Linked DNA regions of Xenopus tropicalis. The protein of the gene in region 1 interacts with the protein of each later gene in a pairwise test. Links are inferred from orthologs where the notes say so. Each region holds a gene or a part of one and is shown on either strand. Other genes may lie near its edges.

Evidence for each region.
Region 2: the proteins of arfip2 (region 1) and arf3 interact in a two-hybrid assay, tested with the Homo sapiens proteins (2 studies listed by BioGRID and IntAct). The link is inferred for Xenopus tropicalis from reciprocal best matches to the Homo sapiens genes ARFIP2 and ARF3.
Region 3: the proteins of arfip2 (region 1) and mal2 interact in binary tests that used the Homo sapiens proteins (3 or more experiments, as listed by UniProt). The two-hybrid records come from large-scale screens. The link is inferred for Xenopus tropicalis from reciprocal best matches to the Homo sapiens genes ARFIP2 and MAL2.
Region 4: the proteins of arfip2 (region 1) and cep63 interact in binary tests that used the Homo sapiens proteins (3 or more experiments, as listed by UniProt). The link is inferred for Xenopus tropicalis from reciprocal best matches to the Homo sapiens genes ARFIP2 and CEP63.

What each region holds. Positions count from the first base shown.
Region 1 is NC_030678.2:180,353,734-180,361,816, forward strand, and holds part of arfip2 (arfaptin-2), read right to left. Parts: intron 4,015-8,083; coding exon 3,909-4,014; intron 1-3,908. UniProt on the Homo sapiens protein: Plays a role in constitutive metalloproteinase (MMP) secretion from the trans Golgi network. May have important functions during vesicle biogenesis at certain cargo subdomains, which could be predominantly utilized by secreted MMPs, such as MMP7 and MMP2.
Region 2 is NC_030678.2:136,298,507-136,306,589, forward strand, and holds part of arf3 (ADP-ribosylation factor 3), read left to right. Parts: intron 1-2,835; 5' UTR 2,836-2,897; coding exon 2,898-3,045; intron 3,046-3,382; coding exon 3,383-3,493; intron 3,494-4,504; coding exon 4,505-4,629; intron 4,630-4,858; coding exon 4,859-5,020; 3' UTR 5,021-8,083.
Region 3 is NC_030682.2:137,861,811-137,869,357, forward strand, and holds the end of mal2 (protein MAL2), read left to right. Parts: intron 1-2,173; coding exon 2,174-2,326; intron 2,327-5,496; coding exon 5,497-5,568; 3' UTR 5,569-7,402; downstream 7,403-7,547. UniProt on the Homo sapiens protein: Member of the machinery of polarized transport. Required for the indirect transcytotic route at the step of the egress of the transcytosing cargo from perinuclear endosomes in order for it to travel to the apical surface via a raft-dependent pathway.
Region 4 is NC_030681.2:130,320,055-130,328,629, forward strand, and holds the start of cep63 (centrosomal protein of 63 kDa), read left to right. Parts: upstream 1-3,471; 5' UTR 3,472-3,754; intron 3,755-5,864; 5' UTR 5,865-5,897; coding exon 5,898-5,941; intron 5,942-6,223; coding exon 6,224-6,401; intron 6,402-7,567; coding exon 7,568-7,663; intron 7,664-8,256; coding exon 8,257-8,373; intron 8,374-8,575. UniProt on the Homo sapiens protein: Required for normal spindle assembly.

The DNA.
Region 1 (8,083 bases):
GTCTCTACCCGCTTTGCCCATCTACAGACTGAAATCCTTGCCCATTCTTCTTTGCAAAACAGCTCCAGCTCAGTCAGATTAGATGGTCAGCCTTTGGGAACAGCAGTTTTCAGATCTTGCCACAGATTCTCCATTGGATTTAGATCTGGGCTGTGATTGGGCCAGTCTAACACATGGATATGTTTAACCCATTGTTGCCCTGGCTTTATGTTTAGGGTCGTTGCCCTGCTGGAAGGGGAACCTCCGCCCCAGTCTCAAGTCTTTTGCAGACTCCAAGAGGTTTTCTTCCAAGATTGCCCTGTATTTGGCTCCATCCATCTTCCCACCAACTCTGAGCAGCTTCCCTGTCCCTGCTGAAGCCCCCCCAGAGCATGATGCTGCCCCCCCATATGTGACAGTGGGGATGGTGAGTTCAGAGTGATGTGCAGGGTTAGTTTTCCGCCACACATAGCGTTTTGCATTTTGGCCAAAAAGTTCCATTTTGGTCTCATCTGACCAGAGCCCCTTCTCCCACATGTTTGCTGCCCCCCCCCCCCCCCACATGGCTTGTGGCAAACTGCAAACGGGACTTCTTATGGTTTTCTGTTACCAATGGCTTTCTTCTTGCCACTCTTCCATTAAGGCCAACTTTGTGCAGTGCCCGACTAATAGTTGTCGGACAGATTCCCCCCCCTGAGCTGTAGATCCCTGCAGCCCCCCCAGAGTCACCATGGGCCCCTTGGCTGCATTTCTGATCAGCGCTTGTTGGGCCTGTGAGTTTAGGGGGGGGGGCCGTGCCTGGGTAGGGTTACAGTTGTGCCATACTCCTGCCATTTCTGAATGATCGGTGGAACAGGGCTCCGTGGGAGGTTCAAGGCTTTGGGAATCTGTTTGTAGCCTAAGCCTGCTTTATATTTCTCAATAACTTTATCCCTGACCTGTCTGGTGTGTTCTTTGGGCTTCATGGTGTTGTTGCTCCCAATATTCCCTTAGCAACCTCTGAGGCCGTCACAGAGCAGCTGTATTTGTACTGACATTAGATTACACACAGGGGCACTCTATTTAGTCATTAGCACTCATCAGGCAATGTCTATGGGCAACTGACTGCACTCAGACCCAAGGGGGCTGAATAATTACGCACACCCCACTTTGCGCTTATTTATTTGTAACAAATGTTTGGAATCATGTATGATTTTCCTTCCACTTCTCACGTGTACCCCACTTTGTATTGGTCTCTCCCGTGTACCCCACTTTGTATTGGGCTTTCCCGTGTACCCCACTTTGTATTGGTCTCTCCCGTGTACCCCACTTTGTATTGGGCTTTCCCGTGTACCCCACTTTGTATTGGGCTTTCCCGTGTACCCCACTTTGTATTGGTCTCTCCCGTGTACCCCACTTTGTATTGGTCTCTCCCGTGTACCCCACTTTGTATTGGGCTTTCCCGTGTACCCCACTTTGTATTGGGCTTTCCCGTGTACCCCACTTTGTATTGGGCTTTCCCGTGTACCCCACTTTGTATTGGGCTTTCCCGTGGAATTCCAATAAAATTGATTCATGTTTGTGGCTGTAATGTGACAAAATGTGGAAAAGTTCAAGGGGGCCGAATACTTTTGCAAGCCACTGTATATACTCATATACACCCATACCTACCTATATACTCATATACACCCATACCTACCTATATACTCATATACACCCATACCTACCTATATACTCATATACACCCATACCTACCTATATACTCATATACACCCATACCTATCTATATACTCAAATATACCCATACCTACCTACTGTATATACTAATATATACCCATACCTACCTATATACTCATATATACCCATACCTACCTATATACTCATATATACCCATACCTACCTATATACTCATATACACCCATACCTACCTATATACTCATATACACCCATACCTATCTATATACTCAAATATACCCATACCTACCTACTGTATATACTAATATATACCCATACCTACCTATATACTCATATATACCCATACCTACCTATATACTCATATATACCCACACCTACCTATATACTCATATACACCCATACCTACCTATATACTCATATACACCCATACCTATCTATATACTCAAATATACCCATACCTACCTACTGTATATACTAATATATACCCATACCTACCTATATACTCATATATACCCATACCTACCTATATACTCATATATACCCATACCTACCTATATACTCATATATACCCAAACCTACCTATATACTCATATACACCCACACCTACCTATATACTCATATATACCCAAACCTACCTATATACTCATATACACCCACACCTACCTATATACTCATATACACCCACACCTACCTATATACTCATATACACCCATACCTACCTATATACTCATATATACCCATACCTACCTATATACTCATATACACCCATACCTACCTATATACTCATATACACCCATACCTACCTATATACTCATATATACCCATACCTACCTACTGTATATACTAATATATACCCATACCTACCTATATACTCATATATACCCATACCTACCTATATACTCATATATACCCAAACCTACCTATATACTCATATATACCCATACCTACCTATATACTCATATATTCCCACACCTACCTATATACTCATATATACCCATACCTACCTATATACTCATATATACCCACACCTACCTATATACTCATATATACCCACACCTACCTATATACTCATATATACCCATACCTACCTATATACTCATATATACCCATACCTACCTATATACTCATATATACCCACACCTACCTATATACTCATATATACCCACACCTACCTATATACTCATATACACCCACACCTACCTATATACTCATATACACCCATACCTACCTATATACTCATATACACCCATACCTACCTATATACTCATATACACCCATACCTACCTATATACTCATATATACCCATACCTACCTATATACTCATATACACCCATACCTACCCATATACTCATATATACCCATACCTACCTACTGTATATACTAATATATACCCATACCTACCTATATACTCATATATACCCAAACCTACCTATATACTCATATATACCCATACCTACCTATATACTCATATATACCCACACCTACCTATATACTCATATATACCCATACCTACCTATATACTCATATATACCCATACCTACCTATATACTCATATATTCCCACACCTACCTATATACTCATATATACCCATACCTACCTATATACTCATATATACCCAAACCTACCTATATACTCATATATACCCACACCAACCTATATACTCATATATACCCACACCCACCTATATACTCATGTACACCCACACCTACCTATATACTCATATATACCCACACCTACCTATATACTCATATATACCCATACCTACCTACTGTATATACTAATATATGCCCATACCTACCTATATACTCATATATACCCAAACCTACCTATATACTCATGACCCACCCAATGATACCTACACGCAGAGTAAGACCCCCCAATGATACCTACACGCAGAGTAAGATCCCCCAATGATACCTACACACAGAGTAAGACCCCCCAATGATACCTACACGCAGAGTAAGACCCCCCCAATGATACCTACACGCAGAGTAAGACCCCCCAATGATACCTACACGCAGAGTAAGACCCCCCAATGATACCTACACGCAGAGTAAGACCCCCCAATGATACCTACACGCAGAGTAAGACCCCCCAATGATACCTACACGCAGAGTAAGACCCCCCAATGATACCTACACGCAGAGTAAGACCCCCCAATGATACCTACACGCAGAGTAAGACCCCCCAATGATACCTACACGCAGAGTAAGACCCCCCCAATGATACCTACACGCAGAGTAATAGTGACCCACCTGCTCCAGACTCTCATCCTCGTGCAGCGCCCCCGACACCCCATTCCTGCTGATGGCAATTTCCATGGTGGCAGCTTTGCTCATGATCCCATCAGACATCGTTATCCTGGGGGGACACACAGTCTGTTACACACTGGTACTGGTACCAACAGGGGCCAATCCCACAGGAGCACAGTAACAATACAGGCGGCACCAATAACACAGATGAAGGTGTCTGGGGCAGTTAAAAAGGGCAGGTACATCTCACAGCTGTGATAGAGGTGTCAATAAGTGGAAGGGGGAGGTTACCTGGGGCAGAATAGGTACCCGGGGTATTAATGGCACCCACCCCTGCATGAGTGTCATTGTGTGCAACCTCCCAGTATTCATTCATTCCTCATTCTCACTGCACTGCTGGTTCTGACTCCTGATACAACTCCCCAATATCCATTCATTCCTCATTCTCACTGGGTTTATAGTTATGTGTAACTGTCACTGTGTCTGTCCCTTTCCCTTCCCTGCACTGCTGGTTCTGACTCCTGATACAACTCCCCAATACCCATTCATCCCTCATTCTCACTGGGTTTATAGTTATGTGTAACTGTCACTGTGTCTGTCCCTTTCCCTTCCCTGCACTGCTGGTTCTGACTCCTGATACAACTCCCCAATATCCATTCATTCCTCATTCTCACTGGGTTTATAGTTATGTGTAACTGTCACTGTGTCTGTCCCTTTCCCTTCCCTGCACTGCTGGTTCTGACTCCTGATACAACTCCCCAATACCCATTCATCCCTCATTCTCACTGGGTTTATAGTTATGTGTAACTGTCACTGTCCCTTTCCCTTCCCTGCACTGCTGGTTCTGACTCCTGATACAACTCCCCAATACCCATTCATCCCTCATTCTCACTGGGTTTATAGTTATGTGTAACTGTCACTGTGTCTGTCCCTTTCCCTTCCCTGCACTGCTGGTTCTGACTCCTGATACAACTCCCCAATATCCATTCATCCCTCATTCTCACTGGGTTTATAGTTATGTGTAACTGTCACTGTGTCTGTCCCTTTCCCTTCCCTGCACTGCTGGTTCTGACTCCTGATACAACTCCCCAATATCCATTCATTCCTCATTCTCACTGGGTTTATAGTTATGTGTAACTGTCCACTGTGTCTGTCCCTTTCCCTTCCCTGCACTGCTGGTTCTGACTCCTGATACAACTCCCCAATATCCATTCATTCCTCATTCTCACTGGGTTTATAGTTATGTGTAACTGTCACTGTGTCTGTCCCTTTCCCTTCCCTGCACTGCTGGTTCTGACTCCTGATACAACTCCCCAATACCCATTCATTCCTCATTCTCACTGGGTTTATAGTTATGTGTAACTGTCACTGTGTCTGTCCCTTTCCCTTCCCTGCACTGCTGGTTCTGACTCCTGATACAACTCCCCAATATCCATTCATCCCTCATTCTCACTGGGTTTATAGTTATGTGTAACTGTCACTGTGTCTGTCCCTTTCCCTTCCCTGCACTGCTGGTTCTGACTCCTGATACAACTCCCCAATACCCATTCATCCCTCATTCTCACTGGGTTTATAGTTATGTGTAACTGTCACTGTGTCTGTCCCTTTCCCTTCCCTGCACTGCTGGTTCTGACTCCTGATACAACTCCCCAATACCCATTCATTCCTCATTCTCACTGGGTTTATAGTTATGTGTAACTGTCACTGTGTCTGTCCCTTCCCTTCCCTGCACTGCTGGTTCTGACTCCTGATACAACTCCCCAATATCCATTCATCCCTCATTCTCACTGGGTTTATAGTTATGTGTAACTGTCACTGTCCCTTTCCCTTCCCTGCACTGCTGGTTCTGACTCCTGATACAACTCCCCAATACCCATTCATCCCTCATTCTCACTGGGTTTATAGTTATGTGTAACTGTCACTGTGTCTGTCCCTTTCCCTTCCCTGCACTGCTGGTTCTGACTCCTGATACAACTCCCCAATATCCATTCATTCCTCATTCTCACTGGGTTTATAGTTATGTGTAACTGTCACTGTGTCTGTCCCTTTCCCTTCCCTGCACTGCTGGTTCTGACTCCTGATACAACTCCCCAATATCCATTCATTCCTCATTCTCACTGGGTTTATAGTTATGTGTAACTGTCACTGTGTCTGTCCCTTTCCCTGTGTCTGTCCCAGGTACCCTGGGTAGATATTTTTTTTTGGGTGGGGGGGGGGGGGTAGGTACCAATGACAGTAACAGGCCATTACACAGACCATTCATTAGTACTGGCAGTGATTACACGCAGGGGGGTAGGTACCCTGGGCAGTTATAGTTAGGGGGGTAGGTACCCTGGGCAGTTATAGTTAGGGGGGTAGGTACCCTGGGCAGTTATAGTTAGGGGGGTGGGTACCCTGGGCAGTTATAGTTAGGGGGGTAGGTACCCTGGGCAGTTATAGTTAGGGGGTAGGTACCCCGGGCAGTTATAGTTAGGGGGTAGGTACCCCGGGCAGTTATAGTTAGGGGGGTAGATACCCTGGGCAGTTATAGTTAGGGGGGTAGGTACCCCGGGCAGATATTGTCGGGGTGGGGGTAGGTACCAATGACAGTAACAGACAGGGATTGCCCAAGGGGGGTAGGACAGGGGGGTAGGACAGGGGGGTAGGACAGGGGGGTAGGACAGGGGGGGGTAGGACAGGGGGGGTAGGACAGGGGGGGGTAGGACGGGGGGGGGTAGGACGGGGGGGGTAGGACAGGGGGGGTAGGACAGGGGGGGGTAGGACAGGGGGGTAGGACAGGGGGGTAGGACAGGGGGGGTAGGACAGGGGGGGTAGGACGGGGGGGTAGGACAGGGGGGGTAGGACAGGGGGGGTAGGACGGGGGGGTAGGACGGGGGGGTAGGACGGGGGGGTAGGACGGGGGGGTAGGACAGGGGGGTAGGACAGGGGGGTAGGACAGGGGGGTAGGACAGGGGGGGTAGGACAGGGGGGGTAGGACAGGGGGTAGGACAGGAGGTGGGACAGGGGGTAGGACAGGGGGTAGGACAGGGGGGTAGGACAGGAGGTGGGACAGGGGGGGTAGGACAGGGGGGGTAGGACAGGGGGGGTAGGACAGGGGGGTAGGACAGGGGGGTAGGACGGGGGGGTAGGACGGGGGGTAGGACGGGGGGTAGGACAGGGGGGGGTAGGACAGGGGGGGTAGGACAGGGGGGGTAGGACAGGGGGGTGGGACAGGGGGGTGGGACAGGGGGGTGGAACAGGGGGGGTGGGACAGGGGGGGTAGGACAGGGGGGGGTAGGACAGGGGGGGGTGGGACGGGGGGGGTAGGACAGGGGGGGTGGGACAGGGGTTAGGACAGGGGGGTGGGACAGAGGGGGTGGGACAGAGGGGTGGGACAGGGGATACACTGGGCCTTACATAGTCTCCGGGGTGGGACAGGGGGGGTGGGACAGGGGGGGTGGGACAGGGGGGGTGGGACAGGGGTAGGACAGGGGGGTGGGACAGGGGGGTGGAACAGGGGGGGGTAGGACAGGGGGGGTAGGACAGGGGGGGTGGGACGGGGGGGTAGGACAGGGGGGGTGGGACAGGGGTAGGACAGGGGGGTGGGACAGAGGGGGTGGGACAGAGGGGGTGGGACAGGGGATACACTGGGCCTTACATAGTCTCCGGGGTGGGACAGGGGGGGTGGGACAGGGGGGGTGGGACAGGGGGGGTGGGACAGGGGTAGGACAGGGGGGTGGGACAGGGGGGTGGAACAGGGGGGGGTAGGACAGGGGGGGGTAGGACAGGGGGGGGTGGGACAGGGGGGGTGGGACAGGGGGGGTAGGACAGGGGGGTGGGACGGGGGGGTAGGACAGGGGGGGTGGGACAGGGGTAGGACAGGGGGGTGGGACAGAGGGGGGTAGGACAGGGGGTGGGACAGAGGGGGTGGGACAGAGGGGGTGGGACAGAGGGGGTGGGACAGGGGATACACTGGGCCTTACATAGTCTCCGGGGTGGGACAGGGGGGTGGGACAGGGGGGTAGGACAGGGATTGCCCCAGGGGGGTAGGACAGGGGGGTAGGACAGGGGGGTAGGACAGGGATTGCCCCAGGGGGGTAGGACAGGGGGGTAGGACAGGGGGGTAGGACAGGGATTGCCCCAGGGGGGTAGGACAGGGGGGTAGGACAGGGGGGTAGGACAGGGGGGTAGGACAGGGA
Region 2 (8,083 bases), about 44 Mb from region 1:
GCAGTTTAAAAGCCACCTAGCCCTTAAGGGCTATGTCACACAAGGCTTTATCTATGCCGGCGGAGAAACCGGCAATCTGCTTCCTCGTGCTCCATATCTCTATGCATTGGTGGGAACATCATTGTAATCGGTGGGTTGGATTTTATCAGTGCAGGTTTAAATCCCATTTTTTTCATGCAGTGAGGCTTAAACATTATGTTAGAATGGTACATTTAAAGGCTGATTTAGTTCAGCATTTTTACTTTACCGTAATGCCCCTAATGCATCATCTTTATAACTACATGGGCACTAGAGAGATGGTTGACAGTGTTTGACAGCCTTTCATTTTATGCTATCAGTGTTGCAGTTTATAGAGAGCTCCAGCATAATTACTGCACATAATCTCAAGTTCATATATAGCTTCTCTCTCTTGCATCTACTGATTTATATACATTTTTCTCTATTAACTGCAACTCCAAAGTCAATGACTTATATCACGGCTGCCCAAGGTCTGTGCTGACGACTTTGTATGTCACCATCATTTTAATATAGTTTGATCCTCAGAGGTGGATTGTTGGATGATTGCCCCTCTGCAGCATAGAAAACTAACAGTATATGGGTCACTGTCAGCAATGAGGTTGTATGTTCTCCCTGGGTTTCTTCCCACATCTTAAACATAAAGGTTAATTGGTTCCTGATAAAATTGACTATAGTGGGTGTGTAAATGAGATATGGACCTTCTACTCATAGGCCTATATGGCTACTTTCCTCAGAATTAGATGCACGCACACTGAATGCACTGTATATTACTGTCTTTTGCCCATCATGCTGTTTGATAATTACAGTACAAATGCATGTTGCAGTTATTAGCGTGGGTTCCCTTTATGCTGTCAGCAGCCATAGGGAGAAAACAGGTCCTATCATCTTCCTGTTATCTGTCAGAATAGTGCAGATGGCGATACATGATAATGAACAGAAAAATAAATGACGCAAACTGCTAATGGCATACATTTGTCAGATTTCATCTTAGGCCTGTGGTTCAAAAGCAATTTTTCTGCCAGTGAGATTCATTTCAATGAGAGATGCCTGGCAGCAGTAGATATGTTCTCGTGAGCCTTTCAGGCTGAAAAAGTCCAGAACTGACTGTGCAGCATTTCTTGTTTTAGTAAATGGGCTGCAACAGGGGCAGTTTCAGCTGAAGTACACTGGCAAAGAGCACGCCCTGTGTGGCATTGGCCTTACAGTTTATTTTGTTTAATAGATGAGGCTTATAAAGGCATCACTGGATAAACCTTGCCTGTCTGCACACACTGAATAAATGCTTGTGTTACATTAGCTCAGGCTTATACCCCTTAATCTATTTACTTCAAAATGCTTGGTCCATGTACCAAGCACCAATAAAAGTAAAACTGACTTCACTTAACATAGACCTTTAATACCAGACCTAGTTGTTTGTGACTTAATTTGCATAAAATCCGCATCTCAGTTTCAGCTTGCCCCAGGTAGGCCAATTAATTATTTACAAAGATCGAGCTTGATCCTACTAGTTCCACAACAATAGTAGCAACTTGCATAGAAACAAGCTGTCCTTTTGGGATGTTGGTATATATCATATTTGGTAGTTTGAGCACTACAAACAACAGGTAAGTGTTACCATGCCCCCCACCCCCCCCATGTCAATAGATAATGTGCCCCCACACCACATAAATTGATAAATAATAAAAAGTAAAATTCCATCAATATACATGTGTACTTTCCAAAATAGGGGGTTTTCTTGGGTCCATTCGCTGTTTTTGCCGCTTTTACTACCCATAAAACAGTGCCATGAAAAATGTATGTTCATTTTGGGGTCTCAACATGGTAGAAACAGAAAGGGGGGTAAATGCCATGAATGTGTTGATTTTGCAGTAGCTTAAGTGCTCTCCATGACAATTGTTTTACACTATTTTATGGGGACTCTACCTGCCAAATACTGGCCATAAAAACGTTTAGTGGATCCTGGACAATTATATTTATAATTTTGCTTTCTACTAACTTGGGAGATAAGTTGGTGTAAAATAAAAGTTTTTTCAGATTTAACATCAGAGCTACTAAGTTTGTTTTAACTAATTCATAGGTCTACCAAATACAACGCAAACGCATCCATATTGTAACATAGGTCTGTTGCATTCAGTTGGCAGCTCTTAGGGCAATAAGAGACAGACCCCTATTGTAAAATATAAGGATATTATAAGTCAATGAGGAGTTCCATGACCACATAAAAAAGCACAATGCCAAAGGCCAGATTTATACAGGTTATGGTGACTTCTAATATCCTTATATTTTGCAACAGGGAGGTACTTTATTATTATTCAAAAACATTATTGTTAAAATGTTTGTTTGAGTGCCTTTTTGGGATATGTATGTAAGGGAAAATGATGAATACAGATATACAAGATATGAATTCAGATGTTGTTCTATATGCATTAGAACTGCTTTCGGCATCTGGTGATTTTGTTTGTGCCCAAGCCACCAGAATTAAGCTTGACTTTGGGCTCTGTTCACATGATTTATAACCATGTACTTTTGTTTTATTTTTACTCTTGTTTTATGTTTATTGAGTAACAACATAGTGCCATGTTAGCAGGGCAGAGCTTCCCTACCACAACCCACTTGAATTTAGCTCTGTGCTAAAGCAATTAATATAACCACATTTAAATGCAAAATACCAAACATTTAGTGCCATGGTTTGTTTCCTTGTTTATATATTAAACAATTGTTTGGGTTTACATTGAAAAATCTAAAGGTTGCAATGTTATAATATATCCTTACTTTTTTTCTCTATTTTATACTTCTTCTTTATACACCATCTGTCAGAGAGTTTGTAAGCCTGGCTTTTATTATTAGAAGTGGCCACAAAAGCATCTTAGGAAAATACCATGGGAAACATCTTTGGGAACCTTTTGAAGAGCCTGATTGGGAAGAAGGAAATGCGAATACTCATGGTGGGACTTGATGCTGCAGGAAAGACAACTATCTTGTACAAACTTAAGCTTGGAGAAATTGTGACTACTATACCCACCATAGGTAAATGCCTGAGGAAAAAGTGCACATAATTGGGTTCAGCAGTGTATTGTGTTTTTTATTGTTAGTGGGGAGTATTAACATCTTCATACAGTTATTGCTCATAGCTGTGGCAACATCTTTTGTTGAGTTAAATTGCCCGAAATAGGCCAACATGGGCCAAGGCACCAGGGCAAGACCCTGGCTTGTAGCCTCTGGACATTATAGCCACGTCTACCTTGTTAATTATTTCACAAGGAAATGTGACCTCCCTTTATACAGATATTGTTACTATTTTGTTATGGGTTTTCTTTGGAAAATTAATCTTAATGTTTGCTTCCTATTTCTTTCTTTATAACAGGCTTTAATGTGGAGACTGTGGAGTACAAGAATATCAGCTTCACAGTGTGGGATGTGGGCGGCCAAGACAAGATCCGCCCACTTTGGAGGCATTACTTCCAGAACACTCAGGGTGAGTGTGTATCCTTGCTTATGTGTTTTTTATGGGATTCCAGGTAGCACAGTCCCATGGGGCTCAGTTATTGTTGGGGTCCTGAAAAATAACACCTACAGTAGTCATTTTCAGTATGGAATGGGAGGTCCAAACTGTTGCAAATTGTATGGTCCCCACTGGATAAAAGTGAGTTTCTAATAGCTGCTTGGGTGTTACCTGTAGGCAGTATTCCTTGGCATAGGAAAATTTGTCCCATTGGCTTCACATTTTAAACAACTTTGTATTAGTTTCTGTTGTACTTTGCTTTGGGTGGTAAAGCAGTGTATAGTCAGAGATCCAGATCCTCTCTGGTTCAAAGCTGAATTCATGGAACTCAAACTTTATGATGTTTGGTGAAACCAAAGGGACTGAGTACAGCCAACAGTTATTACAGGTGGTTGATAAGATCAAATCATTTGATTAAAATAGTTTAGTAACAGTGTTCATATCCAGGCCATCATGCACTATGCCAGGACAGTTCTTTTATGTACTGAGCAAGCCTTGATAAATCCCCTCCACACACACAATTTGCCTTTCTAAGATGTAATTAATGATACACTTATGTAATGAAAATTGCACCAAGCAGGGGCTTTCAACAAAAATAAGAAAGGGACATTTGGCTGGGATCTCCTAATTCAGCTAAAAAGATCCAAATTTAAATTTCAGTCCTTTTTTGTATTTTATGTCTGAATTTATTGCTGTGGCTATGATTCAGTAATGTCTTCTGATTTTAATTGGCAAATTACAAGCTGTTCATATAAATATGTTGACTTATTGCTGGAAAATAAATTTAATTGAAAGCACTTTATTACAGTGACCTTCTCTTTTTTGTCTCTTTCCTCCCTATCCCTTTCCTCTTCTTTCATTTTTTTTTCTCAATTTTTTTTCTCAAGGAGCCGAGCCAGTTCATGTTGCTTATTTTACAGCTGTTTGCATATAAATTAAATAGAATCAGTCATCTGTCAATATAATGCCTCATTGTTTTTTCAGGGTTAATATTTGTGGTGGACAGCAATGATCGAGAACGAGTGAATGAGGCCCGTGAAGAACTGATGAGGATGCTGGCAGAGGATGAGTTGAGGGATGCAGTGTTGCTTGTTTTTGCTAACAAACAGGTTTGTGGTTCTTTGCTTAGCTAAATGGTATACTGTATGACATGCAAGCTTTATGGGCAAGTAGATTTATTCATGTTGGCACCATGACATTATTTATTTACATTTATATATTTGTCTGTGGTAGTAACATTGGCTGGGCTTATAGCACTTGCACGTTTCCTTTGCCAGTGCTATTGTTATTCTCTGCTTGCTATGTAACATAAACTTGACCGTCCATAATTACTTGCAGGATCTGCCAAATGCTATGAATGCTGCAGAGATAACAGACAAGCTGGGCCTGCATTCTCTCCGCCACCGCAACTGGTACATCCAAGCAACTTGCGCCACCAGTGGCGATGGCCTGTATGAAGGGCTGGACTGGCTAGCCAACCAACTGAAGAACAAGAAGTGAAGGTGCCAGTCCCATTTTGTCTCCAGCGTGCGCCTGACTCTTCCTCCCACATCCTTACTGTGCTTCCCCAGCCAAACCAGGTTGGGGTTGGCTCCTGGTACAGACCACACAATCCCTCCTGCTTCTCTTGGTTCCACATTTGCTTTCGTTGCCGTTTTGGTTTGGGGTGTTTTAATCGGGTGCCGTGTTTCTCCTGGTTCATCAAGCTGCTGTTACTTGCTGTTTTCTTTGTTCTTTGAAGATATTGGTTGGGAGTGGACAAGTGAGTCTTGGCAGTACATGCCTGAGTATTCTGCCCCCTGTAGACAGGGTTGGTTAGAGGGAAGGAATGGGAGCAGTGCTGTTTTGTGTTTATGTTGTGTGGAAGCTCCCTTTGCACATGATTGTGGGAATGTTTTTGGCTTCTTGTATTTGGTTTTAAATTATTTCCGTTTCAGTACTTCATCCAAGATGGTTTAAATAGTTAAACAAGGATCATATTATATTTTATTCTATTGGGAAAGGATACAATAAGCTTGGGTTCTAATATCATTTCAGAGGGTTGTGTTTTGGTGCAGCAGAGCAGTTTTAATAGATGACCAAACCTCTGGGAAGCAAAAAGAGAAATTGAAGGTGCAATAAAGAAGTTAGAAAGGCAATATATTCTTTTAGCTAGAGAAGTGTAGGCAGGCTTCCCACCGGGAGAGGCACTCCTTGCTTGTACGTTTCACAACACTTTATTGCTTTGTCAGTGAGAAGTTTCTTCTGTGAGGCAATGCTGTATTGTGCAACAGTGATGGAGGGAGGAACCCTCCCAGCAGCAAGGGTGCTTATACTTTGGTACTTTATAATATACAAAATATTTATTTTCCCTGTGGCACTTGTGTCTCTCCAGTAGTAAAGTATTAACTTGAAATAGTTCTTTAGCATTGACCTGGTTTTGTCATTCCAGTTTAAAGGAACAGTCCTCCTGCATGCATCAACTGTAGCAGTTACTTATTTCCTTGAGTAAATAAGATTTAAACTTGGTTAATTAGCTGTGTTATATTTACAATACAAGACACTGATAGGTTGGGAGGGCAAGGTAGAGAACCACAAATAGTTAAGTTGGCCGTACATGGGCAGATTTAAGGTTCTCCAGACTGATTTGGCAGCTTTTCTGCCCATGGAAGGGAACCCCCGGCAGGCCTACCTGACCAATATGTGGTAAAAATCGGGCAGATTTCTGTCGGACAGGTTTGATTTTTTTCCGTCGGATTGGGGACTGCATCGGCTCATTATTGTGGTCCTTGTTCTGACAGCTGCTATTCCTGTCATTGTAATTTGATCATTTGGCCCTATGGCCACTTAGGTGGGCATATCAAGGGAAAGTATAGTATGTAGTATAGTTTATAGCGTATGACCACCTTTAGTAGCCTGCAGACTGTCATCTGCTACTCCCCTTCCTTATCCTAGACACAAAGTGTTTAATTTGAGGAAAAGTGAGTTATTCTGCAGCAGAAAGAGTTGACACAATTTTACAACTGCCGTTATAACAATGCAAATATTAATATATTAGTGGTATTCTAGCCATAGCACATTGCTCTGTCTAACAAAATGTATAAAAACCAAGCATCAAAAATAAGCTAAATAAATGATAAAACACTGGATAACAAGTATATTTGGTATTAAACTGAAACTATTGTTACAGTTATCAAGCTAAAATGAGCTAAATGTACACTCACATTGCAGGCTCAGGTCACTAAATTAATCATTTGACATTAGCATGTCCAGCCTGTGACCTTTCTTTTGTTGTTGGGCTATAACTCAGTGTATAGTTAATGAGGGGTCCTGGGAGTTATTTGCAGGCCCTCGGGATGAGCTGCAGTTTTTGATCAGTTTGAGCATAGGACAGGCTTAGGAAGCATTAGCAATAAAACTAGTTTCTTGTCGATAGTCAAAAGTATTGTATTATTGCACTCCTGCCCTTTTCTCTCAAAGTCCCACACACTGTGGTACGTGCATGCTTTATACTCTCCCTTAAGGGTGGAAAGGCGCCCAAACATCAGCAGTAGGTTAATGCTGAAAAATGCAGGAAAGATCATTATTATAATGTGTACGGCCACCTTTAGTTTAGTTACATGTGATGCTAGTACATTCGCAATGTGCCTCCTGTTGTACTAGCTCTCTCTGTCTCAGCTACATGTGTATAAAGCTGAGGGACAGAAGTAGAGTTCAGCCAAGTGAGATCAGATATACTAAGGCTACTGGTACACTGGCAGGACATTTTGCCATGGGACAAAACAGCTGAAGTTTCCTTCCCAGCGAGACAACTTTGGGCTACTGTGCGGCAAGTGTTTTCCCACCAGACAAAATGTTCTGTGTGCTAGTACTCTAACTACATACTAATGTACAATGGCTTTTACCAGGGTTATTTAAAGGAGAAGGAAAGGCTAAATCACTAGGGGGTGCCAAATGTTAGGCACCTTCCAGTGATTGTAATCACTTACCTGAATCCTCCAGTTGGTGCTCCTGTTAGGAGAAAACTGCACCGGCCTGGGGTAAATGCAGACGAGTGATACTCTTTCTTCCTTCTCCTTTCGCAGTGATCCCGGGCCCTACACTGGTCCAGATTGAGATTATGTGATCGTTTGGCCCCTGTCAACAAACACATTGTAATAGTGGCCTAGGGAGGCCTTCTGGGAGAGGATTAGAGCAATATGCTGATGTGGTCCTTACTTGATTTTTAGCTCCATTTCTGTTGTAAGGAGCCCATACAAGGGACAATAAGCTGCTGATTTGGTCTGGAGGGGCCAAGTCAGCAGTCCATGCATGGCCACCTAACACTGTTTATGTGAGTATTGACTTATCAAAGGAACAGTAACACCAAAAAAGGGTTGCGTTTGCCTCAAACACTACTATAATTTCTATAAATTAACTGCTGCATAGCCATGGTGGCAGCCATTCAATCTGAATAGGCAAAAGGCTCATGTTTATACAGCATATGGATTAGCTTTACAGAATAAAATTGGTTTTAGTTCTTACACATGGGTCAAATTGCTGGATAATCAGATGCAAAATTTAAATTTTCACTTCTGAATCTTA
Region 3 (7,547 bases), on another chromosome or scaffold:
ATGAATGAGATGTGGCACTTGCTCGTTATGTGCATACGAGTGCCCTAACATGGCTGCCCGAACCTGGAGTTCCCTCTTGGTGCGGACAGCCTATACTGTAGGGGGCTATATTTTGTAAAAAAGACTATTATTGCCCCAACTGGAGTGTGGGCTCTATTAGCCTGCAGCTCTGGTAGGGGAAGCAATTTTAGGGTGATCAGCCTGAAGAAGAGATGTAACACTATAATCTCTAAAGCATGAAGTGCTATTACTGGAAAATACTATTGTGGTGTAAGAACAGGTTATTAACAAACTTGCAGGAAAGGTTTCCTTCGGCAGCTATGCCTATAGATTATTATTATTATTATTGGCTTTGTTCAGTAGGGAACACCCACAGCCCAGAGAATTCCATGTCTTCAGGAACTCTGGTGGTTCCTTGTACATGGATTATTCTTCTAAATGACCAGAATGATTAGACAGCCTAATATTTCCTAGTATTTCCATTAGGTTTATTAGCCTTTTAAAGAAAGAAACGTAGACAAGCACAGCTTTAGAAGCAAGACCAGAAGATATTGTTTTGGAAATAGGTTTGGGAGCGAAGGTTCCTACTGTAGTGTCCTCTCCAACCCATACCCTGCAGGCTGATAGAAAAATGGGAGAAACCCATTTCAATTAAAGGTTAACTATACCCCTTAACCATGTAGTTCTCGATAAACATATATTGCATTAAACAGCTCATATGCTTCATCTAGATTGACCATTACCATAAAAATATACTTTTTTAGTAATATGTGCCATTGGGTAATCCTAAATAGGAAATACCAAGGGCCGCCCCCTGGGATGTTATGATTTACAGTGCACACAAACAAGCCAAGGCACACATACATGCTAGGCCCCATCAGCCAATGAATGGACAGAGTTCTGCCTTTTGCTCCGACACTACTTCCTGTTACAGTTAGAGCTGCATCACTTCCTGTCAGCTGATCTCTGAGGGAGCACACAGCCCATCACAAAATGGTGGCTCAAGGGAAAGGATGTAAAAGGGTAATACTGATATATATATTCCAGTTTGGCGAGATTCTTTAATAGGTCACTTAATATAATATAAACTATCTGTTGGTTAGGTACTCATTCTGGGGGTATAGTTTTCCTTTAAATGTTCAATATTTTGTTAATGGATCCTGAAGGGCCCCTCTCTGAGTGCTGCCACTGCTCCGGTGTTGCAATCTCTTTCCTTCTACCCAGTGTAAACATTACATAATGACTTGCTTATCTGTGGCAGAAACAGTTATCGCGCTTCCCTGATCATATCTATTAATAAGACTGGGCCGGTTTGTAGAGAAATGCATCAGTTGGTGTTACAGTCATGTGCATTCTTAGTTTCCAGGGTGGAGAGATGAATTAAGTATGTTAAAGGTCTCCGTGAATGTGTCCCACACTTATTTTTACATAAACTACTGTACCACAACATTTTTTTTTTAATGCTGTATCACAGGGATCCCCAACCGGAGGACCTGGAAGAAACTTTGCCCTGTAGGGATTTTAGTGCTGCACTATACTGCACTAGAGGTTTATATACCACTGAACATATCAACCATACAGATCTTTGTGCTTCTAAAGGAACATGGGGAGGCAGTGACACGTGTAGAGGCCAATAAGACGACAGTCATACTGTTTGTGACTCATCCATTCAACCCATTGGCTGATTGGCTGATACCTGATCAGCCTGTACATGGCCACCGTAAGACGTGTGTTTGTGCCCTCAAATTTTGAGGCCAGCAAACACCTTGAATTATACTACATACAAGGAATATTGTGTAAATACACATAATTCACTACATTTTATGACCAACCCTCAACTTTTTGCACACAGGGTAGCGAGAGGCTTGGAGGCATGCAAATAATATTACACCAGGGGGTTACTCCAGTACAGCTGGATAGTAAGAGATAAAACTTCATTCAGTAGTTGCCAGGGAAATTAGTTTAGCAAATCCACAGTCAAGGGTTCAAGCCCAACCATGAGCAGTGCAGGTAAGTCAATGTAACCTGAACAGAACCTTTGTCCCTTGCTCAGTAAAAGTTTCTAGAACTCATGGGAGTAAATAATAGTCAGATGAAGTGCTGAAAACTCATTTTTTCTCAAGGTGAGAAGGAAGATGGACTCTAACAAAAGGCGCCTTGGTTTGTTTTCCAGGACCTCGCTTACCACTTGACCGCATTTGTATTCTATTTTGGAGCCTTCGTCCTTGAAGCTGCAGTGACCTCTCTAGCAAATCTGATGCGGAAGGAAAACTCGACTGTCATACACCTTGATAATCGCATGCTTGGGCTGAACGTGGCTGCCACGGTATGTACCTATAATCTGCGTAGTATTTCATGCATAATGGATCTCGCCTGGATAATGAATGGTAACCGAGGCCCCGCCTATCTCTATCAGTTCTGGTACAGGTATAGGACCCGTTATCCCGAATGCTTGGGACCCAGTTTTCCGGATAAGGGGTCTTTCCGTAATTTGGATCTCCATACCTTAAGTTTACAAAAAATCAATAAAACATTAATTAAACCCAATAGGACTGTTCTGCCCCCAATAAGGGGTAATTATATCTTAGTTGGGATCAAGTACAGGTACTGTTTTATTATTACAGAGAAAAGGGAATCATTTAACCATTAAATAAACCCAATAGGGCTGTTCTGCCCCAATAAGGGGTAATTATATCTTAGTTGGGATCAAATACAGGTACTGTTTTATTATTACAGAGAAAAGGGAATCATTTAACCATTAAATAAACCCAATAGGGCTGTTTTGCCCCCAATAAGGGGTAATTATATCTTAGTTGGGATCAAGTACAGGTACTGTTTTATTATTACAGAGAAAAGGGAATCATTTAACCATTAAATAAACCCAATAGGGCTGTTCTGCCCCCAATAAGGGGTAATTATATCTTAGTTGGGATCAAGTACAGGTACTGTTTTATTATTACAGAGAAAAGGGAAATCAGTTTTAAAATTCTGAATTATTTGATTAAAATGGAGTCTATGGGAGACAGGCTTTCCGTAATTCGGAGCTTTCTGGATAACGGGATTCCGGATATTCTCTTTCCTGCTATGTTTATTTCTCATGTATTCTGCCTAAAACTTACATTATGATGAAAAAGCTGCTTCCTCGCACACCTGTGTTGTCTAACTGGCCCTTTAAAGGAAATTATATATACATATTACATACTCTTCCTTAAACATTATGACATGGCTGCATCCCTACACACCCCTGTTGCCTAATTGGCACTTTAATAGAAACTATATATGCATATTACTTACATCTTCCTTAAACATATATTATGACATAGCTGCATCCCTTCACACCCCATCTTGGCCAACTGGTCCTGTAAATGAAACCATATATAGTGAACAATGTACCCCCTGTTGTGAAATATAAGACTATTATAAGTCACATTATGAGTCCCTTGACCATATAAAGGCAAAAAAATGGAACAGGCTGAACTAAGGGTAGGCAGAAGACATGCCTAGTGCAGAATGGTGGGGGGCTCATACCTCTTCTGCCTGCATTCTACTAGTTTTGGACCTTCTGTAATGGTGGCAGCAGGCTATCAGTTCTCCTCAATTCTAAAGGGGAGCAGTGTGATTGTCACGCTCCACGGGTGGTGGGGCATTGTCTTGGGCGCTCGTTTGACTTGTGGCCCAGCGCTGATGGATGACGTCACTAAGCACTGTTTATAACTTCTAGAACATTCATGGCTTCATATTACTGTTTCTTCCTTAGATTAAATTATGATGATATAGCTATAAGGTCCTCTAGTTGTAGGTCTTAAAACAATTATACCTCTCCCCTGCCAGATCCCATTTTCTGTTCAGATGAATATCAAGAGGGGACTTCTCAGGAAACCCTCATGTAGGCATCCCAGCATGATCCCCCACTGATATCACCAGTATCACCTTCTACTGTATTTGATATTTTTCACCACTGTGGTGAACCATGACGGTCAAATCATCTGGTCATAGAGCAACAGGTTACTCTCAATACAGTGAAGTTAGCTGCCAGACTTACATAAACAATCTACTATGCAATGGTATCATTTCTTAATATATCCTTATGTTTTATACTTTTTCCCTCTGGTTATTATCTAATAAAGTTACTCTGCAAATAGGTGCAAAGTCTTTCTCTGTTCAGTTATGCTGCAATGGAATGCGGGTGAAGTGTGCTTTAGATAAGCTGATACCATGTCATGTTCTTACTATGCGAATGCCAAGTATTGAAACAATCCTTTTATTGCTGTAATTAAATAACTCTGTCAAATGCACATTATATTGCTCTATAAACGTAAGGCAGTTCTAGTTATTCTTTAAAGCCAAGGGCAACTGAAGGGTCAGAATTTGAGCAAGACCAACATAAACCATCCCAGTTATCATCTTGCTCTGCGGCACCTTCTATTTCAGCCTACAGCTGCTCTTCTGCAGGTTCCCACCTTTATTGAGGAGATTGTGTGAGAAAGCCAAGGGCTCAGACTGAGCAGTAATTGTGTGTCTCCCAGTGGGAATCTGGGACAGAAACTGTATCCAGGAGAAAAAGGTGCAGTTATCGTTATCCAGGAAACCCGAGTTCCTTGACGTTTGTGTACAATGGTTGCTGGGGCAGCACCAAGCTGTGTTGCTTCTCTTTTGTTCCCTTCTGCACTGACAGATAATGGTTAAATATATTAGCAGTTTCAAAACTAAAAATAAGTTACCCTTATATTTATTTTTGTACATTTCCAAGACTATTTTATATGCAACAATAAACCAATAAACCATCTTATGCCTCTGATGATCATTCTAGAAGACACAAGGGCAAGTAAGTAAGGAGATAATTTGAGAGTGTGAAGAGGGTTTCTTTTACAGTGGATATACTGGCAGAGACATTAGATAGCTTTAAGAAAGCATTAGATGTCTTATAGCAAGTGAAAAGCTACCAATATTAATACATCCAGGTCCTGGCTTCCTTCTGAAGCACAGACAGCATTAATAGACATTATCCGGTATTTGTCTCTTTGTGCAATCATAGGCATTGAGCTGGACAGAAAATGGGATCAGATGACCCCATATATATCAGATTTATGAGAAATCTGGACCTTTATAGAGCTGTCTACTGTGTAGTACAAGCCTGTACTTATAATGTGTATAACCTGTATTATGGGGGGTGGGGTTTGATCACATCATTTGTGAACCTAATGCAAGAGGGGGGTTGAGGTTGTTGCATGAGTTTCCTCATCTCTAGTTCAATAAGAGCATCCATGACTTGTGCTCTATCCCATTTCTTCTTCTCTCCTACCCCCTAACTTAATTACTTAAGTTATTCTCCCCCACCCCTGCATTCATCCTATCTTCTAAAATGTAATTGTCTCCAAAAAGTGAATATTATTTTTCAGTATGTCTTTCCTTTGCTCTTGGCATTATTTTATTCTCCTAAACTCCCATGTCTATGAGGGCAAACACACTTATTGTGATTTTTTTTCCCCCCCACAGATATTTGCTTTTACGGTTACCGTTTGTTATGGCTGCAGCATGGTCCTAGGTTTTCGGCGATGGAGGTCTTAAGCCGCTAGAAGACCAGGCAGACACCTTATCTGAAACTGGTGCAAGTTAATGGATGTTAAGAGAAAGAACTGTAATCTAGAACGTTTCAACGAAGAGATCAGTCAAGGAAGACTTACTGGAAGAATGAGATCCAGATATCAGCAGAAGGAGAAACAAAGAGAAAGCCTCCTTCTAACATTCAATGTGCATGGATTTGCGGCTGTAAGATCCTGCTGCAATATTCAAGTAAAAAAACAGACCAACAAGAAGCCTGGTTTAAGCATTTATATCTGGTTAAGCAGCAATGACAATATTATACAAGGCCTTCAGCACAGTCTAGAGGTCTTAAATTATTTAAAATCATCATAATATCAATTTTGGGACCTACAACCAAACAGCCATGAAGAAGATATTGCAATAATTCTAAGGTTTGCAATGTTTGCCAAAGAAATACTATTATGCGCCATCACCGCCCTGCTATTTGTTATACTGAAGCTACAGCCAATAATAAGAAGACTAAAGTACACAGAAGAATGTGTTCCAATATTGCCGGCTAAAAATTTGTCTTAGGGGCATTCTGGATATTTTGTTGCCCGGGCAATTTCTGAGCTGGAGAGCAGGCAACAACAATCTCAGAATCACTCCCCATTCACTAAGATGGCAATCAGTTGGACTCAAAGGAACCTCAAGTCACAGATTTTGCCAAACTGAAGAACAGGAGGGTGAGGGGTGTAGATGGTTGGTCAGAGGTTTTCACAAAAAAAGGCTTGGATTGGAAGAATTCAGATGGGTTCATAGCTATCCAGCATTAAATTTAGTGCTATATTTCATGGGAACAATAGGTCAGGTTAAGCATCTGATGAAGTGATGAATAACTACTAGCTCAAATGGCTACTCATAATCCATAGTCATCAGTGTTTTCTTAGATTTGCCCCAGCTCAATACTTGGAATAGCTGAAACTTGCACTTGTATGATGTCTTTGGTTGCAACAAACCCCCTGTATTATTTCAATGCCCAAGAGCCAACACTTGGATCTGTAAAATTGTACCAGCTTTAGTATTTTACCTCTTTAGTTTAGGGATAATTTTGGCTGGACTGGTCTGGATCCAGATGTACTGTATAAGGTTTCTTTATTATACATCAAACTCTGGATAACTGTGAATCCTTCTGTAAAAAACAAAAGAGAGCCATGATGCGCATTAAGAGTTGAAGTAACTAGTGATCCTACCCTAAAAACCGCTCAATTGCTTCCTGGATTCAGAATTTCCCTTTGCAACACTCTCCAACAATAAGATTAGAAAATTACATTTGATTATTTTGAAATAATTGCATTGTCTTTGTACAGAATTCTAGAACAAAGACATCTATTTCTAGTTGTTGATATGCTGTGAGTCCGATGGAACATTCCTAAAGCCATGGTCACATAACTACAAATGTATCTAATGGCCCTTGTACTTGCACTTGTTTGTAACTGTCTCGGCATCTTAAACATTAATAAGCCTCACAGCACAGCATTCACGACTCTTTGTCCAACAACTCAGGAGTCATTTGTTCCAACAGGTAAATTATATATTAAGCTTTATCAACAGATCATGTTTCCTTTACATGACTTTTACTTTAACCTCTGTAAAAGTTTTATGGCAGGGCTACCAAAACCTGGGCTATGGGCCGTTTGGCATTAAGCACATTAAGCTGTAGGCTAGACAGGCCAGACCAAGTGCAGTTGTAGAACAGAATGAATGTGATGCATTAAAAGCCTACCTATTTGCATTGTAATGGTAATTCTTTTAAAAACATTGTTTTGTGTTTGAAATATCCAGTATATTTTATAGGAAGACTCGGTGCATTTTACAAGAAAAAAAGAAAAACCTAAAAATAAAAAAAATTGTATTTGTTTTATTCCATGAATACTTATTGTTATTCTTCAGTATTAAGACATTTACATTTGAAAAAAAAGTGTTTTTATTTTATATTTTTTTAATGATGGACAGGTTCTACT
Region 4 (8,575 bases), on another chromosome or scaffold:
TCAGGTAACTTATTGTTTCGCCTACTCCCGTGTAACTGGAGGAGTCCCAAGCCGGACTTGGATTTCTTACTATTGAGTGCTATTCTGATACCTACTGGGAGCTGCTATCTTGCTCCCTTCCCATTGTTCTGCTGATCGGCTGCTGGGAGGGGGGTGATAGCACTCCAATTTGCAGCTCAGCAGTAAAGTGTCAGTGAAGTTTATCAGAGCACAGGTCACATGGCTGTGGCACCCTGGGAAATGAAGTATATGGCTAGCCCCATGTGAAATTTCAAAATAACATATAAAAAAAGGTATTTTTGAAAAATGGGTAACAATGCAGGATTCTGCTGGAGAAGCTCTATTAACTGATGTGTTTTGAAAAAAAACATGTTTTCCCATGACAGTATTCCTTTAACGCTTTAAGCACTTTAGTCTCACAACTAAATAAGCAGCCAAAGATTTGGCCTGTTAATATGCCATGAGAACTTTAAGTCATAGTCTTTTAGCGTTTCTCCTCGGCAGACATGTCAACTCCCTGATTTAAAAGGCACCTATCAGAAAAAATGATTTCTCCCACCAAAGTCATGGGCTAATATCACCCACACTCCAAATGGGGGAAACAATAATATTTTGTGCAAAAAATGAGTTCCTAATGAGTTAACTAGATGGTTAAACTGCAAAGAAATAGTAATGCAAAGAAATTATTTGTGCACAGTATCGAGCAAGTTGTTAGTGGATGCAGGGATCTGTAGTTCAGCTGCATTAGGATGGTGGAGAAATATCAGGACAGACAAGGCAATAGTCTGCACAAATGAGAAGCATTAAATTGTGCACATCCTTGCTTAAGGTAAGACACGCTAAGATTTGCTTTTTTGTGGGCATAGGAGCAGTCGGACAGAGGGCCGCATAAATGAACTGATGGAAATTTTAGGCCAGATATCGGTTGGGTAGGCCTGTTGGAGGTGCACTTACATGGGCAGTAAGCTGCCGGATCGTTCTGAAGGACCCGATTCAGCAGCTGAGATCTGCCTGTGTATGGCCGCCTTAATTCTTTATAACCATGGAGAAAGGTTCTTTCATCTACACAGGCTCCAGTTCTGCCTGCCCTGATAAATGGCGAGCAAGGCACACTGACTCACGGATACCCTGGAATGAAGACTCCTACAGGTGTTACATTATTGTATCCTTAGCATGTTGTACCTGTAAGCCCTATTTGGCTAGTATAGGGTTGAGAGCATGGGGCACATGCAACTCAATCCTTCAGGATGGGCCTTCACTATGTGGAAGTGACCAACAGAGCTAAGGTGTAGTGCAACTACAACTCACTGTAGCTGTGGGCAGTGCAACGTAACAAGAATGGGCACCAGAAGGTTCTTGCAGTTAAACAATAGAACTGGTTTATTGTCAGAGACAAACAATATGCAGGGTTATAGCAATATACTCACATACAGTTGTTATATGATAGTAATACTGAGGACAGCACAGAGAGGATGCACACCATTTTATCCCAACTCCCCTTGAGTCTGGGCAGGGTAAGGGTAGGGTAGCTCGGGCCCCCTTTAATCAGTTCCGGGCCCTGTCATTGGTGGTCAGCGGGTGATCCTATTGGTCGCGCCCCGTGCGTACATGCACGTCAGTACGCACAGGGCCCAACCTTATAAAAGGGCCTGTCTTCTTTCGGCACTCAGAAATGCAGAGGTGTCGTCCAGGAAGGACCTCGCCGGGGGAGTCCGAAGCCGCTGCTGAAGATGCCGCCGCCGCTGAAGACGCTGGAGGAGACGAACTAGACGCAGAGGGCTGTGCTGTGCTGGCTACCAATGTACTGGGGGGGCACAGCTGGCCACCAATGTACTAGGGGGGGCACTGCTGGCTACCAATGCATTAGGGGGGCCCTGCTGGCTACCAATGTACTAGGGGGGGCACTGCTGGCTACCAGTGTACTAGGGTGGGCACTGCTGGCTACCAATGTACTAGGGGGGGCACTGCTGGCTACCAATGTACTAGGGAGGGCACTGCTGGCTACCAATGTACTAGGGGGGCACTGCTGGCTACCAATGTATTAGGGGGGGCACTGCTGGCTACCAATGTACTGGGGGGGCACTGCTGGCTACCAATGTACTGGGGGGGCACAGCTGGCTACCAATGTACTGGGGGGCACTGCTGGCTACCAATGCATTAGGGGGGCCCTGCTGGCAACCAATGTACTAGGGGGGGCACTGCTGGCTACCAATGTACTGGGGGGGCACTGCTGGCTACCAATGTACTGGGGGGGGCACTGCAGGCTACCAATGTACTGGGGGGCACTGCTGGCTACCAATGCATTAGGGGGGCCCTGCTGGCAACCAATGTACTAGGGGGGGCACTGCTGGCTATCAATGTACTGAGGGGGCACTGTTGGCTACCAATGTACTGGGGGGGCACAGCTGGCTACCAATGTACTGGGGGGGCACAGCTGACTACCAATGTACTAGAGGGGCACTGCTGGCTACCAATGTACTGGGGGGGCACTGCTGGCTACCAATGTACTGGGGGGGCACAGCTGGCTACCAATGTACTGGGGGGGCACAGCTGGCTACCAATGTACTGGGGGGGCACAGCTGGCTACCAATGTACTAGAGGGGCACTGCTGGCTACCAATGTACTAGGGGGGGGCACTGCTGGCTACCAATGTACCATGTCTGTGAGTCCTTTGTACTGGTGGGAGGGGGGCCCAGAAATTTTTGTTGTGAGGGGCCCCGTGATTTCTGATGGTGGCCCTGGGTGTCCGCATTGTTACCTCAGCCAGGTTGTGGCACCTGCTATTAGGCTGGAATTGTAGGAAGGACTTGGCATTGTGGGTAAGAAAAACAGGCTGATGCACTGGGATATTCTGCTGATTTAGGCTCAGTAAGTCCTGTCTGGAATAACTTTGCACTGAGAGGAATATTTCATAAAGAACTAGGGCTCACATTGTGCCACAGTGAAACTACGCAGCTCTTACACAAGTGTATGGGATAGTTTTGGAATTTATCAGAGTGACCCCTCACTTCCACTGATATATATACAGTATATGTCCCTAAGAATCCCTATACAAGTGAATAGAATGCAGTGGGGCTGCACCTAGCATGGATATCACTGGCCCACCTACACTCTTGGTTAAAACATCCTTATACAGACGCTTGAAAAATCTATAAAAATCGTGAGAAAATAAACCCTCGAGTGCACTGGGCACAGCAGGGACTTTCTCTGGTCACGTTTCAGGGTAACTTATATAGGGTACCGGCCCAAGTTCCCATGATATCTATATTTACAACTACATGTTCTCCCCCAAATTCAACCTTTGGCGGGGCTCTCTAAAGTCTGGAAACTGCTGCCCCAAACACAACGCTCGTCCACTAAGCAGAGGCAGATTAGGAGACTGTTCACGCTGTAACTTCCAGGACAATGCCTCTGGTTACGAATGTCCCAGTACGGCTACCGTAGGTTTGTTTGAAACAGCCCGCCCTCTGCTTCCAACCAATCAGTAACTGCAGCGATCTGTGTACCCGGAAGCGCTCACCCTTAGGATCGGGGACTTTAGCGCGCAATGGGGATCACATGACTGTATGTTCCCTACAGTGTCATTTGGGAGTTAGCCCTTAACCTCCCCGCTTTTTCTCGTCTAGGCTGCCTTGCTGGGGAGGTAAGGTCGTCTGCTCTTCCTGTTACTGTGCCGGTCTCACCGCCATACCCGGTCCCTCTACTGACTGACTATGGGACGAGGAAAAGACTTATTTGATGCCTCTATTTTCAAGTGCGGCTTCTTTTTGCTATCAATGGGCGTCGGTGAATTCATATATAGTTGATTTTGTCAGCCTAGTGCCGTCAAAATAATGGAAACTGGACGTTTGTTTATGTTCCATTGGCTTCCAGCACTGGGGAGAAATGATTCCAAAGTTGTTAAATGAGCAGTGGGATATTAAACTTTCATTATCGCAATAGTTCCCCTTTAAACATCTTTTCTGAAGGAGTTTCAGGGTTTTGGGGCTACATGTCCTGCAAACACAAAGGAATGGAAAGGAAAGGACACCAGTCTGGGAATGGGGCTGGGCGAGTTGGGGCTTAGGGAGATGGCAAGTACAGGATCATTCCCTGAGCGCCCATGTATCACTCACAGCGCTGATCCCCCCAGCACAGACTGTAACTTGTGGACAGAATATTTTTACAAAAAATGCATTATCACATTCCTTTTAAAGTCGACAGAATGTAAAGTTATGGTGTGAAATTTGTGTGATATGGTGCCCAATCCTGTATCTTGTGCAAACAAGCCATCGTGCACAACATATGTACAAGCTACATCATGCCAAATAGGACATTTCTTAAATATATTCAATTAAAGATTTTGGAGCTTTTCTGAAATAATCAAGTGACTCTTCACTCCCCCCCTCGTCTCTTCATTCTGTCCTCATGCAGGTGTCAGGAGTCTGATTTTGATTGATAAATCTACTATGTCTTTGGGGTGCGGGCTCCCATTCCTAGCAAATGTGTCACAGCTCACTTAAATAATTGATTCTAGCACAAACAAAATGTAACAAAACTGATTTTGGCACATAGCCTGCACATAAAGGGACAGGATTTCTGGTGATTGTGAGAGAGTGAATTCTAAAACATCCTTTGGGGGGTGTTCCTTTTGCCTAAAAGATGTATTAGGCCTAACTCAATCGAAATAAGACTCTCGACTTTAAGAGATAATGAAAGCAGCCTGTCGCTTTGAAATCTCCAATCCGTATATATATATATATATATATATATATATATATATATATATATAAAATAATAATCATCCGTGACCGGCACACCCTTCAATACTTTATCAAAAATTTATTGAAAACATATTGTTTAAAACCGACGTTTCGGTCCTCATTAGGACCTTTCTCAAGGATCCTTGAGAAAGGTCCTAATGAGGACTGAAACGTCTGTTTTAAACAATATGTTTTCAATAAATTTTTGATAAAGTATTGAAGGGTGTGCCGGCCACGGATGATTATTATTTTCTGTGTAGTTAAATTTTGGCTGTGCACCCCGCAGAATATTGAGCCTTGGAGTGCTATTTGGAGTGCTATTTGGATTGATATATATATATTATATATTTTCTCAGATAAAGTCTGCACACAATACTCTTGCCAACTGAAGGTGCACAATCAAAGCTTTATAGAAGATAAAGGACCAGCACTCCATGCATCATAAATAATAATTGTGCTTTTATACTACAATAGTGCTGAAAATTTTCAGCACAATGGCGGTATAAAAGCACTATGTTCTGGCATCCAATATTTGTGAGTGTGCAAACACTCGACCACCGACCATCCAAGAATCGGGTAAAACTTCTCATTTTATTGGAACTTGATTAAAACAAGCTTGATGCGTTTTGTGTCCTGTACTTAGTCATAACCATAAAACCATTCCAATTGTATATCTTAAGGGAAAAGTGCCGAATGATCACACACCCAGATATACAGATGGAATGGTTTTATGCTTATCACTAAGGGCAAGACACGAGATGCGTCAAGCAGGTTTTAATCAAGTTCCAATAAAATGAGATGTGTTACATGATTCTTGGATGGTCTAGTGTTTGCGCACTCGCAAAGACTGTATATCTCAAGGCTGTGCTTCTATAGTTCTTAAGGGGGAAGATGTTGCAATTAGTTGCCACAACTTTTGAAAAAAGTCACAGCAAATAATCTGCCTGTGATTAGTCGCAGCTACTTATACGCTGCCCATTGCGCGATTAATTGCCACAGCTTACTTTTTTAATAGCCATGGCGACTATTCCCCCATGTGTCTATGCCCTAACAGTATATGTAGCACCAGTGGTACTATTTTTCTTGCTAAAATATTTTCTGTGCCCTCTCTGTGTTTTCTAGTAATAGCCATTTGCAGGCTGTTAAATAAACGGAATGGAAGCTTTGTTACAAGGGATTCAGCAACAAGAGAGAATGGGGTGAGTAACCTAAGTTACAGGTTTGGACAGTGGGATCAATTCTGTTAATCGCCCAGCATGTTTTAGATTTGAGGTGAACATTTATTAGAAGTCAGTAATAATTCTAATACTGTTATTATTACTGATATAATAACATTTGTATTTATCTATACCTTGCTTTAAAATTAAGGAGGACTGGTCAATTAAATGTATGACTGTAAGGGGTGAGTCTGAAAACCAATATATAAACATATTTATTTACATCTGCTGCTTTTTTTATAACTCTGTGTTCATCTTCATTAGGTCTTTGCAAGGCTCCTGTGAGGCTGAGCTGCAGGAACTCATGAGGCAGATAGACATTATGCTGGATCACAAGAGGTCGCAGTGGGAAGCAGAGACTGAAACACTCAAGACCCGTCTAGAGCTGAAAGAGCAGGAGCTGAAATCTTCACTGGACAGAGAAGATCACTTAAACCAGGAGGTAGACCAGTTGAGAAGTTACAGACAGAACCAGCATTGTGGCTTAGGATTAGTGCAGTCTAGTGCACTTATTGTATATTATGCCTTATTTATAAGAATTGGTCACTTTGTTTTCCTGTTTGAAATATAGATATTTCCTCTTCTGCATATTAATCTCTAAGAGGCCCCCAGACATTTCCAAAATGGCGTACAGCTCAGTGTAACTCTCTCAGGTCAATTCTAAGATCTTCTGTTTTGCTTTGTTTCACCCATTCTTCAAGTCACACCTCTTGTAGGAGCACCATTGGTGGATCATTAGCAGATTGATAGGGATTAGCGGCCTATTGTCAGGGGACAAACAGAAACCCTAGAACAATAGCTGCAAAAACCATCATTAACATTTTCATAAACAAGTTTTTACCTCATATTTGCATTATTAAATCTTTATATATAATGGAAGGAACAGTAACGCCTCCCAGGTAATTTTTAATTTTAGCAGCACTTCACTGACACTCCATAAAACTATACATATTTGGCACTGGCATATTCATGAAACATGGCGATTTCTAAATCAGTTGTATTTCCACATATAAAATAAAACTTTGGTATTTAGACCCCTAAATTTTGTTACAGAAGTGGAATTACACAAAAAATTATAAAGTCCAGGTTGTCCTTAAGAAACTGATAGTTTTCATGGGCAAACTATAATTCCCCTTCAGGAAATGCCCCTAAAGTGAAATGACTGGCAAATAAAATGCTACAATTCTGCAGGTAAAATTGTTATTCCAAGGCTTGTGTAGATGTGGGTCTGGGTTTGATGGCACACCAACAGATTTTAAAAGGGCAAAAGACAAATTGTCAGTAAAATTACATCTAAAAGACAAAATCTAAAAAATTTTTACAAAAGTGGAGATAGAGATTTGTGAATAAGGTGGAAAATCCGACAAGTCTATCTGCATTTTTATTTTGTCTCAATATTGCCACTTTTGTGAATTCCCCCTTTTGAGTTTGACCACTCCACAGGATACCCCTCTCTCAGACCTCGGTTATTCCTCCCTCCTGTCTATGACACTCACAGATACATATGTTCCATGAGCATTTAGTACACAACTGTGTTAGTTTGGGATGTACATTATTTATCTTTGAATTATGTGTATTTTTGGGGATAAACTAATCTGATTCCTACAGGTTAGAAGACTGAGACAGCAGCTCATACAGCAGGAAGAAGAGACTCAGAATAAGACTGTACAGTATGAGGCTCAACTGTCAGGCTTTAAGGAGGAGGTGAGCAATACTCTTTAGCCCTGCCTTATCCAACATGTCCTTGCGTGTCATTGGATTTGCTTTCATAACACAGCTGGCCTATCTGCCTTTTATCTCCATACAATCTGTGCCCTCATTAAAGGAGAAGGAAAGGCTAGTAAAGAGTTAATCTCAAGCTGCAGGCATACCTTCTCAGTAGTGCCCTTAAGTCTCCCTATATTTCTCCCGTTCAGAAGATCAGAAGCCAAACAGGAAGAAAAAACGCTGAGCTGTGTAAAGAAAGTTCCCATAATGCCTCACTCCTGCACAGACACCCAGACCAAGTGAACATGCTCAGCTTCCTGCTGATTGGCTCAGATTCACATTCCTAAGGTGGGGAGTGAGTTCTTAGGATTCTTGAGGGAGGGGGGAGCAGGAGAGAGCAGAAAGCTGCATGTCTGTGGCACAGGAATTACAGACACAAGAAATATTTTGACAAAGAAGTCAGTGCAGCGTTTCTGTGAGTGCTTATGGCTGTATTTACATAGACCTTTCTGATAAAGCTTACTTTTACCTTTCTTTCTCTTTTAAAGCAGTATTTTTAGGATCTTAAAATATTTCACTGTTTTGCTCAGTTAAACAGATTAAAAAAAAGTTACGAGAAAGTACAGAAGAAGCACCTGCGATCAGAGATGAAGAATAAAGTAGACGAGGAAAGATCTGAAGTCAGCCGCCTGACGCGGCGGTTAGAGGTATGTATATTTTTATTTATATAATGCTACTTGTGCACACGGCACTGTACTGAACTATACATTCAAGGTAAACCAAAGCTTAAGCAAACAGGTAGGGCAGAAATGTTGTTCATTATGTTTTGTGCTCCTGTACCAGCCAGAGGCAACCACAGCCCTTTAGCAGGGAAGATCTGTGCCCCCAAATATGCCCCAGTAGCCCCCC